Danio rerio: one gene and its partners. The protein of the gene in region 3 purifies or fractionates together with the protein of the main gene of each other region. This does not show direct contact. Links are inferred from orthologs where the notes say so. Each region holds a gene or a part of one and is shown on either strand. Other genes may lie near its edges.

What was found.
Region 1: the proteins of aatf (region 3) and nat10 purify together in Homo sapiens (affinity purification with mass spectrometry; 3 studies listed by BioGRID and IntAct, with this or other methods). This does not show direct contact. The link is inferred for Danio rerio from reciprocal best matches to the Homo sapiens genes AATF and NAT10.
Region 2: the proteins of aatf (region 3) and ngdn purify together in Homo sapiens (affinity purification with mass spectrometry; 3 studies listed by BioGRID and IntAct, with this or other methods). This does not show direct contact. The link is inferred for Danio rerio from reciprocal best matches to the Homo sapiens genes AATF and NGDN.

The regions. Positions count from the first base shown.
Region 1 is NC_133193.1:41,151,099-41,154,756, forward strand, and holds part of nat10 (RNA cytidine acetyltransferase), read right to left. Parts: intron 2,838-3,658; coding exon 2,704-2,837; intron 2,121-2,703; coding exon 2,072-2,120; intron 1,974-2,071; coding exon 1,877-1,973; intron 1,024-1,876; coding exon 913-1,023; intron 827-912; coding exon 654-826; intron 1-653. UniProt on the Homo sapiens protein: RNA cytidine acetyltransferase that catalyzes the formation of N(4)-acetylcytidine (ac4C) modification on mRNAs, 18S rRNA and tRNAs.
Region 2 is NC_133199.1:16,007,415-16,011,615, forward strand, and holds the start of ngdn (neuroguidin), read left to right. Parts: upstream 1-1,367; 5' UTR 1,368-1,427; coding exon 1,428-1,451; intron 1,452-1,663; coding exon 1,664-1,723; intron 1,724-2,688; coding exon 2,689-2,760; intron 2,761-2,848; coding exon 2,849-2,986; intron 2,987-4,201. UniProt on the Homo sapiens protein: Part of the small subunit (SSU) processome, first precursor of the small eukaryotic ribosomal subunit.
Region 3 is NC_133180.1:61,611,134-61,614,791, forward strand, and holds part of aatf (protein AATF), read left to right. Parts: intron 1-525; coding exon 526-663; intron 664-3,658. UniProt on the Homo sapiens protein: Part of the small subunit (SSU) processome, first precursor of the small eukaryotic ribosomal subunit.

The DNA of each region.
Region 1 (3,658 bases), on a different chromosome or scaffold from region 3:
AAAAAAAGATAGTTTAGTTTTTATTTATTATTTTTAATCAGCCAAGAGATTAGTTTCCATTATTTTTTTATTTAAAATTAAACAAACTTGAACTAAAATGAGAATTAAAATATGTAAACAATTACTTTAAAAAAATGGTTACAAAAAATGTAATCTATAAATCTAAAATAATAATCTAAAGTAAAAACTGTCTTGACAGTTTTAGTACAATAATAAATATGAAATCAATCAAACTACGACCTACTTTATGAATTTATCGAATAACTTAATGAAGCTTAAATAAAATTATAATAACAATTAGATTAAACTAGAGACATGGAAAAACAAATAAGAAAAATTATGCAAACCCACAAAAAAGACAAATTAAAACTTTTTTTAATTTGTTTAATAAATAAATGAATAAATAAATGATAATACTAAAAATATTAATAATAATAATTTTGAAAATAATTAAAACTTTATAAACTACATTAGTTATGCAATGATGCCAAGGTATGAATACCTTTACTGATATTTATTACTTATTAATAATATTTTTTTACAAAAGGAAGATTGAAAATGTTTAAACCCTAAAATTACATATGCTAATGAACATTCTTTGCTCTAAAAAGAATCCTACAACTAAACTTCAAAGAAACATACAACTGACTTACACTCTGGGCCACAGAAAGTGAGATGTCACCAAACTGTTTGAGGAAGTGCATGCGTGCAATAACAGGAATCATGTCCATGATGAGGTGATAGTCCACCATGTTTCTGGAATACATCTCCAAACGCTTCAGGTCATATGGAGTGAAGGTGGCTGCGAGTTCAGCACTTGTGAGAACTGAAAAACAAATACACATGAAGATCTATCTTTAACCAACAAACACACACACATACAGCATGTAGGAGGCAGATATGGGTCTGTACCTGCCGTGCTGTCATCTTTAGCGCTCTTGTTCTGTAGTATATTTAGAGCCAGAGTCGAACTAAATTTGCTGAACTGGAAGGACATCAGCGAGAGAAACCTCCGCCGGAAATCTGTCCAACACAAAACATGTCAATCTTACAAATCAGAAGTAAATAGATAATAGTGACACTTAAATGTATTAGAGAGTGCAACAGTCAAATTCTGAAAAGAAAAATCTCCATTCTGTTTATTGTGACAGAAAAATTGCAAATCTGCAGTGAGTTTTGAGGTTGATAACTGAGTTTTTTTTTTTTTTTTTTTTTTACTATGTTGTTTAGTAAGCTGCATTTCTGTTGAATGACTACATTTTCCATGATGCTGAACAGGAAAATAAAACAGAACAAATCCACCAATCAGAGAGCAAAGAAGTTAAATATATTTACATTTACATTTTAAAATTAAATTGAAATATATTATTTATATGGATATACTCAGCAACTTTAAATATTTTAACATTTGTCAGTCGTTTTTCATGGGATTGTAGTTAATTTCCTCATAATTGCAGTTATGCCTACAATCTTGTTGTTTTTTAGGGGGTGGGGGTGGGGGTTTACCATCAAACCAAAAGTTATGATTTCAGACCACAAAGTTTAAATCTGACTAGTGCGCTTTAACATATCCCGTAAAGTTAAAGAATGCATTTAGTACAGTGAAAGTAGCTGGAATTTGTGGCATTTTGAACACATTAAAACGGCATTTAGTAAGACGCGTTTTCAATGAAGCTCTGGAATTGGTCAAAAGTGAACAGGCTAAAACCTTTCTGAGCTGACCTACACCTGTATTCAGAATCATCCACTTTTAAACAGATATACATCTTAATACAATATGTAAATTGCCTCACAGAACACTCTGCAGTACTTGATACTTTAATATGAATGGTCCAGTTGACCAATCAAAACGATAAAAGAAATAATGAATAGTTACCCTTCCAAAAAGCAGAGAGCCACTGGTTCTGGTCTGTTGAATCTTCAGAATTGAGGTCTTTGAGCATAATGCAGGAGTGCTCGCCTGTCAGGTCATTCTAGAGGTCATGATATAACAAAAATATCACAAACTTAGAGCAAGATAAACAACCCTGACATGACTTCAATTAAAAAAAAAAAAAAGCTGCAAGCTCACCGGAGTCTGTCTCAAATAAACAGGAACAAATCCAGCCTTTTTCCAGAATCTAAAAGGGAAACCCAGAGACAATATGTTTGAAAAGAGTTTTGTAATAATGTTGCATTACTTGTTGGGGGTAACACATATATCATGTAGTTTTATTACGTTTATTACGTAAAGTAACATTACTATTAATTTTCAAGAAAATATAGGGAGTTTTTTTTTTTTAAATAAATAAATAAATGAATCGCCATTTACTGGCTGACAGCTCTTTTGTTCCCCAGATGGGTTGTGTATGATGTAAAAAGATTTATTCACATTTTACTTTTGGTGTAAGAGGGCTTTACAATTTAAAAAATACACTTTTTTATATTACTAAAAGCATTATTAACAAGCAGCCCAGTCCAGTTGAAAAAAATGTAAGCCACAGTCACACTAGAGTTTGTGTATCAATAGAAGTCTAATGATCGAAAAGTGCAGTGACCACGGCTTCACAAGTAACTTTAACAAGTCGTTAAAAAGTAACTAAGTACCATATTTAGATACTTTAAAAATTAATAAGAGATTATAATGTTACTTTTAAAAGTAACCTTCCCCAACACTGCTTGTAGCAATATCACTATAGTGTCTGTTTGCATGAAGGGACTGACTTCAGTAGTTGAGGAGTGAGGCCATAAGAAACTCCCAGGTAATCCAGCCGCTCAGCTCTCCTTTCATTCAGCTTCAACAGCAGTGGTGGCAGATCTTTCCTTGGAGAAACCACCTCCTCCAGCAGACTGACAGCCTGGACATCAACATCAACAAACATACTACTTCACAAAACATACTTAAACTGTTCTTATTTTGGATGTTGGCTCAATATGCCATCTCAGTATTTAAGAATGATCTAAAAAAATGAAAAATGAAGTGTACACATTGATGTGACAGAGGGCCAATTTAAATATGCAAAATTTATGGTAAAATGTAAGTTTAAAGAATTAGCACTGTAAATTATAACGTCAGTGAAAATAAAAAGAAATTACATTTTTTAAAGAGATTTTAATAATTAAATTCTGTAAGGAAATGTTAACTTGATTAAAGTTGAAAGTAAATGCATACACGGTTTAACTTCACAATTATTATATTGTGTATATTTCTCACAGATATACTTTAGAAAATCTGACACTTTTTTGGAATTTCCAAAAAAAAAAAAAAAAAAAAAAAAAAACACTAACTGTTTTCAGCACTGATTGTAATGATAAATGTTTCATCAAATCATCATATCAAAATGAAGAATCATGTGCCACTTAAGATTGGAGTAATTGTTGCTGAAAATACAGCTTAGCATATCAGATATACATGACATTTAAAGGGTCACGAAACAACAAAACACATTTTTTGAGCTGTTAACAGTCGTATATGTGTCCCATGCTGCTACAAACACTATTAGGACACATATATTTCACTAAAAACTGAAAATTGGTTGTTTTTGTGTTATTGTACTTCCGGTTAAAAATGAATTTTTGAAGCTGCGTCACGGCCATGAGATCTTAGCATGTATTCCAGCGTGTAGGCTGGATGTCTGTACCCGGGAGTGTTTTATTACGTCTCTGAGTGTGTTGCAAT
Region 2 (4,201 bases), on a different chromosome or scaffold from region 3:
ATTCTATGAAAGGTTCTTTATGGTTGGAAAACCTCTTTAGATTTGGCTAAAATGTTCTTCATACTTATGTTATAAAGGAATATTTTAAGAACTGTTCACTGAAGCCATTGATTAAACGTTATTTTTAAGTAGGTCGAAATGAATCATGATTTGATGATCACATTTTGCATTGTGTTTAGTAACTCACATTGTCTATCAGTGTGGTTGATTCTGCTCCGGCAGTCTCACAGATGCTGATGAGACTGGTGTAATATGGAGTCCTGCGCCATCTTCTGGTAAAAGGCAAAACTGAAGGACAGTCGAAAATCACACAATAATTTAGAATAGTTTTGAACTGTAAATTAACAACAAAAAAGTAGATGCAAACAGTAAGAACTAGTTACATTTTAGTTTTATAATATTGCGAAAACGAATCATGATTTTACTACAATTAGTAGAAAATAATTAGACGGCTAATAGACGTCTTTTAAACCATGATGCTTCCTGAGTACTAGATCAATAGAATTATTTATCTGGGTTCCAGCACATGTTGGAACTTTAGGGAATGAAGAAGCAGATGAATAGGCAAAGGAGGCCACAAAAAATAAATAAACAAATAAATAAATCAGAAATTGACATGTTTTTAAGAACTGGGAAAATGAAATGAAGACAATTATTCGACAATATGTGAGGGAAAGATGGCAAAAGAAATGGAAGGAAGAAGGAAGGTGGTAATATGTGATCCAGAGGATGGTGGGTAAAAACAGAAATAGGGAAAAATAGATGCGAGGAAACCATCATGTCAAGGTTAAGGTTTGAGCATACTGCTCTGAATAGTGGACTGTTTAGAATAGGAAAACATCCAAATGGACTTTGTATTAATTGTGATGAAGAGGAAAGTATAGAACATATCATAAAGAAATGTCCATTATATAAAAGGGAACGGAAAATGATGATAGACACTGAGGAAAATAAGGTAAATCTAAATATTAATAGTATGTTAAGTAGTAGAGTAGGAGATAGTAAAATGAAAGCTTTTTATTTGTTAGAGAAACTGGGTTGTATAATATGCTAGACTATAGTCTAAAGTTTTAGTCTATAGTTTTAGACTATCAGTCTAAACCCTGTTTAAAACACATCAGCCACGAATTGCTTAAAACCCGTTTAAAGCCCAGCGTAAAACCAGCAGTAAATCGTCTTACGTTGATTAAAAATGCTATTATAAATGAAACAAATTACATCAAATTGACGCTGTAAATGCTCCAGAAAACCGTTTGTAGGTCCTTTTACAAGTGTCTATGAAAAGCAACATGTATATAATAATCAAATCACATTTAAACCGTCCTGTCAGCCTTTGGTAAAACTGTTGGTCGAGACGAATTTTCCCGAATTGCCTGCTTTGAGTTTTGTCCCCACACGCTTTCCGTATCAACTTTGCTTAATTCAAAATGGCGGCCACCGCAGTTGGAAACGTGAGTTTATCTTTAATTAGTTTCTTTATTCTTTAGTCAAACCTAAACATAGACGATTGAAGTTTAGTATTTTATTACATTTCTATTATACTGTCATTTAATGTACTTTTATTTTCCAGTTAAGATGAGTAAAACTGGACATTGGATTACACGATAGCCTTTTAGAAATTTATTTACTTTTGTATATTTATTTATTTATTTATTGCTTGTAGGATGTTATAGACCGTGATCTTCCGACTGCTGTCCGTCTACTTAACAGTCTCACCGAACAGGTCTGTAATTTCACAAAATGTAATATTTTGATGGTTATTTTTGAGAACTGTCTGCATCACAATTACACGTTATATTTTATATTGAGTTAAAGATGGTTTTATTTTCGCACATTCAGACTTTCATCTCAATAATAACATTTCAGAAAAGTATTATTTGCCAATCCTAAAGAGTGAAATTTAATAGAAGCCAATGACTATCAAAGTACAACACTGTTCAGTAGTGCTAATGTTGTTTAAGTCATATTTACGCTGGGTTTTTAGTCTGAATATTCAAAGTACCAAACAATATATGGAGCGTGTCACAGGTTGTCACTAAACGATACCAACTTTTAAAGTACCAACTTTACCTCAATAAACCAAATTAGCAGCCAATGACTATCAAGGTACAACAGTGTTCAGTCAATTAAATAGTGCTAATGTTGTTTTAAAGTCATACTACACGCAATTTCAGACCGAATATTCAAAGTAAATATAGGAACATTCACAAATTGTCACTGTTCAAGAATGAACAAATGTGCGAATATAAAACCAACTTTACCTGTTTGTATTTTATGGACAATGGGATTACACATTATTTACACAATCAAGTATACTATTTGTAATGTATTGGTTCTTATGCTTTTTTATATCATTTAGTCAAATTCTGGGTTTGTTGATCACGCCTTTCTAGACTTTATTCATTTTAAACAGCTCAATTTGTTTCTTTAAGAAAAAACTGATGGTAAATTCAACAGTATTTAATTACAAATTGCATTAGATGTAAGTTCAAACTGTTTGAGTTATTCATCGTATATAGTAAAGCCATTGTTCACTTTGGTTGTTGATTACTTTAGTATTGTTACAGTCTTTTAACATCATTTTTATGGTGCTTTTAATTTGTTATCAGTAACAGACTAATCTTTAGGTAATACAGCTAGCACACTAGATGAACATGGAGATGTGATGATGCTGTTTGATATTTTCAGATTGTTTCAGTCACCAGTCATGTTCGGGAGCTTATAAAGAAAGTCAGAGAGAAAGCTTACCAGACTTCCAAGGTAAATGTTGTCTCTGGTAAAAAAAAAAAAAAAAAAACTTTACCGCAATTATGTGCATGACTTGATTATTTTTTTCTGTTTGCTTTAGGGTTTGTCTTTTCTGGACTTGAGATATCATCTGTTACTGTTTTATCTGCAAGACATCACTCATTTGATCAGTTTGAAGACAGAAGGAGAAAGTCTGAAGGACAACAGTGCTATCCACAGACTGGTCACCATACGGACAGTAAGGCACAAACCTTGTAAAGCACAGAGCAGTGTCAGAGACTGTGTTTATGCAATTTAAAAAAAAAAAAAAAAAATATATATATATATATATATATATATATATATATATATATATATATATATATATATATATATATATACATATTTATATATATTTATATATATTACTATATTGTTTTTTTTAGACTGGCATTTCCGCATTAGAGTACTTTCATTCAAAATTATGAAATTTGTAATATTTAATAAGTATACTTTTTAAGAAATCTATTGGACTTTAATGAATGTAGGAAGTATTTTTATGAATTGAACTAAGTTAAAGGGATATTTAAAAAAGTTTTACCAAAGCAAATTGTAGAATTTTTATCATATATTAATATGAAAAATGTTATCTAATTTATTTTGTGTTTATTTGTTTGGTATTAAGTTGTATTTTTTTTTTCTGAATAGATTTTTATTGCCATAAAAACATTGTTGCTGACATGGCATTAAATAAAAATATATGATATTATAAGAAATAAAGTTCACTTAAAATGACAAGAAACTGTGGTAAAAAGACAGTTCATGCATTGAAAACCATTACTCTGTTTGATATGTGAACACCAATGCAAAAATTTCAAACTTTTTAATTTTTTTAAGTTAACTATAGATTTATTTATTTGATGCCATCTGATGAAGCTCCGAACATCTCTGATGTGTGCATATATACACATATCGGATGTTAAAAGAACAGCTTTGTCTAAAATAGAAAATAATACAATTTTCAAAAAAAAAAAAAAAACTTTTAGGGTCATTTCAAGTATTTTTTTATATTTATGAAATGAATGACATCAGTACAGGTCATGTGATAAATGAAAACACTAATGTTTAAACCTGCTACTCTGGAAAAGAGACTGGACTACCACTAACAGGTTTGATGATTTCAAGATAATTGCTAGCAAGTTAAAAAGTATGCTGTAATCTTTGAAATGATTGCTTGGAGATATTGTAAGATATCGCAATCTTATAAAGTCCTACAATACAAGCTCTAGTTTTACCCTATATAAGATCAATATTTTAATGTGACATTGGTGTTATAAAACTATCAGAAACAAACATCTCTTAATAGCATTGTTCTGTGCCTTCTAATTATTTACTTTTTTTCTTTGATTTTTGGTTGCATTCATTTTTGTATATTAGCTTTAGAAATGGATGAAAATAATGTGTAATAAAGACA
Region 3 (3,658 bases):
AAAAAATATATTTTTCAGCACATTTCTAAACAAAACAGTTTTAATAACTATTTTTTTTAATAACTGATGTATTTTATCTTTGCCATTATAACAGTACATAATGTCTTTTAGATATTTTCCAGATACTAGTATTCAGCTAAGTTTAAAGTTAAGACTTATCTAGGTTAATTAGACAAGTTAGGGTAAATAGGCAAATCATCATATAACTATAGTTTGTTCTATAGACATTCAAAAAATATTTCTGAAAGGGGCTAATACTTGTGATTAAAATGGTTTTAAAAAAATTAAACACAGCTTTAATTCCAGTCAAAATAAAACAAACAAGACTTTCTCTGGAAGAAAAAAATATTATAGGATAATACTGTGAAAGGTTCCTTGTTCTTTTAAACATAATTTGAGAAATATTTCAAAAAGAAACAAAATGCACAGCTGGGCTCATAATTCTGACTTTAACTGCATATGGTAATCTGAGAAGTGGAATTTAAATTGATGTTTTTTTTTAATTATTTTTTATAATGTTCACAGCCCTTTGGGACCTGATGCTTGAAAGGCGGATCAAAATGCAGAAAGCTCTTGTGACAGCCAATCAACTTCCACAACCACAAACATTCTCAGAGTTCAAGAGCAGGGGAGGGGCTGAATATGCTGATGCTTTGAAAAATAGTAAGTGAATTTACATTATTTGACTGAGAATTTATAATTAAAAACATGTTCAGTATCCTAACTATTTCCTATATGTTTCACATAAAATGAATAAAAATGTTAGGGGTTTTTATTGTATTATTGTATATTGTGTAAGTTAGCTACAAAACTGTTTAAAAATGTTGGAATTTGGAATATTTTATAATTTCTTTTCCAAAAGAAATTCATGCTCTTATTCTACAAGGATAAGTTAAATTAATCTGAAGTGACGGTGAGAGTTGTACTATTTATGAAATTGTTTGGTAAAAATGTTGGTAAAAGTTTGGTAAAAATGCTGTGTTTCTTTGAGTCTTTAAGGCCGTACTCACACCATGCACAGTTGCCTCGAACCAAGCCAAAGCACGCTTGTCCCCCTTCCCGTCTCCCCTGACTCACATTACAATCGCCTGGGCACGCTTACGCCATCGATGCTGCGATGTTTACTAAGTGCTCTTGCTCAGTGCAGTGGAGATTTCTGTAGTTATATTGTTTCAGTCGTTTGATATGCAGTGACACGCAGTCAAATATTTTGCCAAACAGTCCTAAGGGATACGGTAACATGCAGTCATATTTCGTCGAACAGATCCGCCACTTTTGTCGCTCATAAACAGTCATAAAGCCCTCGTGCTGCAGGAATGAGGAGGTTTGCTGAAGGTGCGCAGCTGTCTTGCAGTGAGGGGTTTCCGTCTTTAATAAACGACGGCAGTTTGCGTTCATTGAACAGTAAGATTGATTAATAAATCCATATGAAACAGTTTCTTAAGTCACGTCTCGCTTGCAGTTTCGGGCTTTGGCACGTTTTACACTCACACTACAAGCGAACCGCGCCAATGTGTGTATAGTCCATCCTGTCACAAAATGCAACGAAAATCCTACACGACGGTAATAGTTTGATTTAAGGTGTTTACATTTTTACATTCGGAGAGCAGCATTTACAGTGGATCTTTCAGTCCATAATATTGTAGTGATATTACTGTAAACTTAGGTATGTCTTTAAAAACTGTTGACAATACTAACTAGTTTTGCCTCTGAATAAACATAAACATAGAACACTGATTACACACATACCAAATCTGTAGTGGCAGGACAATTAACACCAATTGGAACCTCTTTTTTTTTTTTTTTAAAGGAGATAAGCGGCAAATCTGGAATTTACCATTTACAGATGTGAGAAGCACTCGGGTAGAATGTTTTTTGCAAACTTATTTTTGTCATATGTTAGCAGACCACTGTAAACAACACATATAAGTCCACATGCTGCGGTTTCATAGCCGGGAATTAAAAACAAAACCTTTGTTGCAGCACATTTATAAACGCAACACTGACGACCTGTGTCTCCAAACAATTATTCATCTTCCACTTGTTTAAATTACAGTTGTCAACACAATGTGGCGTTTTTCTGCCTTCTGAACACTGTAACAGGAAAAAACTCTATCATGTATATTAATGAAGTTGCCCCTCATACAAAATTGAGCGTGCTGATTGGTTCGAACCAAGTCTTTCTCATGAGTTAATGCTGAAAGCTCAAAGACGTCACGTTGTACCCGCCGGTACAGACATCCGGTCTACATCTGGTAATTTACACAGGGATCTCATGGCCGTGGTGCAGCTTCAAAATTGCTTTTCAAACCGGAAGAACGACTTTGCTCGAAATAACACAAAAAAAAACAAATTTCACTTTTTTTTGTGAAATATGTGTCTCCTTATAGTGTTTTTAGCATTGTGGGGCACGCAACATCTCAAAAAATGTGTTTTGGTCTTTCGTGACCCTTTAATTTGCCCTTTCAAGGCAAAGTTAAGGCCTTGAAAAGCTCTTTACCAAAGCAGAAGATTCTAAATTTAAAAAAGCTGTTTGCAATCTTTCTTGGTGTTTTTGAAAAATAAGAATCGCAAAATAAAGCAAACATTTTTGCTTTCGGAGTGTCCTTTTAATTGCCTAAAATGTTTTACAAATTTTTTTGACGGTATCGAGATTTATTGACTGAACACCATTGCCAGTAATGATTTAAAATAAAAAGTTTGCTATAAAGTTATGGTATGCAGCGCCATAGCTTTATTCAAATGTTGCTGCTGAGCGCGCACCTTCGAGGCAATGCCACTAAGCTTAGAGCTATTTCCAATTGAGGCGCATAGGGGTTGTGCATTTCCAGGTGCAACTAAAGTTGAAAACATTTCAGAATGCTACATGCACACTACGATTTTATGTAAGTAGAACTAACCAATCTGCTTCACACTTTGTATGCAATATACATATTTTGATAGTAATGACAGACTCTGACGAATGCAGAGCACTCAAACACTGCAGTGCTTTTTTATTCTCTTCATAAATACAAACTAGTGTAGGAACTGGAGCAAAAGTTTGTTTGTTTTGTTGACATCCGCTGAAAAAATGGCTAATGGTCACCTAGTTATGAGATACGCCAGAGGAATACAAGCACAAAGTGCATATTGAATGAAACTAAATTCACTTTCTCATGCTTTTCACATGCTTTTAGACACAACATGTGAAAGGAGTGCGGTTAGATTACGCCACCTCTGGCCAGAATAACAACACGTGAAAATTAGTGTCATGACAAGCAGCAATAAAGAGATTGTAAATTAAAAAAAAAAAAAGGATGCAAGGATGTCACCAGAGTGGCTTTTTGGTTTCTTTTCTTGTGCAATCCAGCCACAAGCGATCTAAAAGATATTTTGAAAGATATTTTATTATAGGGGGTAATGTAGTCATTCAACTTCACAATTTAAAATGTTGCTATATGTATTTAAATGATGTCTATTTCCTTTACTTGAAAGTTCAGGTTTGATTATCAGAATTTTAGTTTACAGAGTTCTTGGTTTACTGTATCATTATTATTCACACCTTGCAGTTGCTGATCAACTTTTACATTTGTGATGATTGTTCAGCAATTATACTTTTTCAACATTTTATTTATTAAGTTTGAGTCTTTTTAGCACTCATGTTTATTTTAGTTTAAGA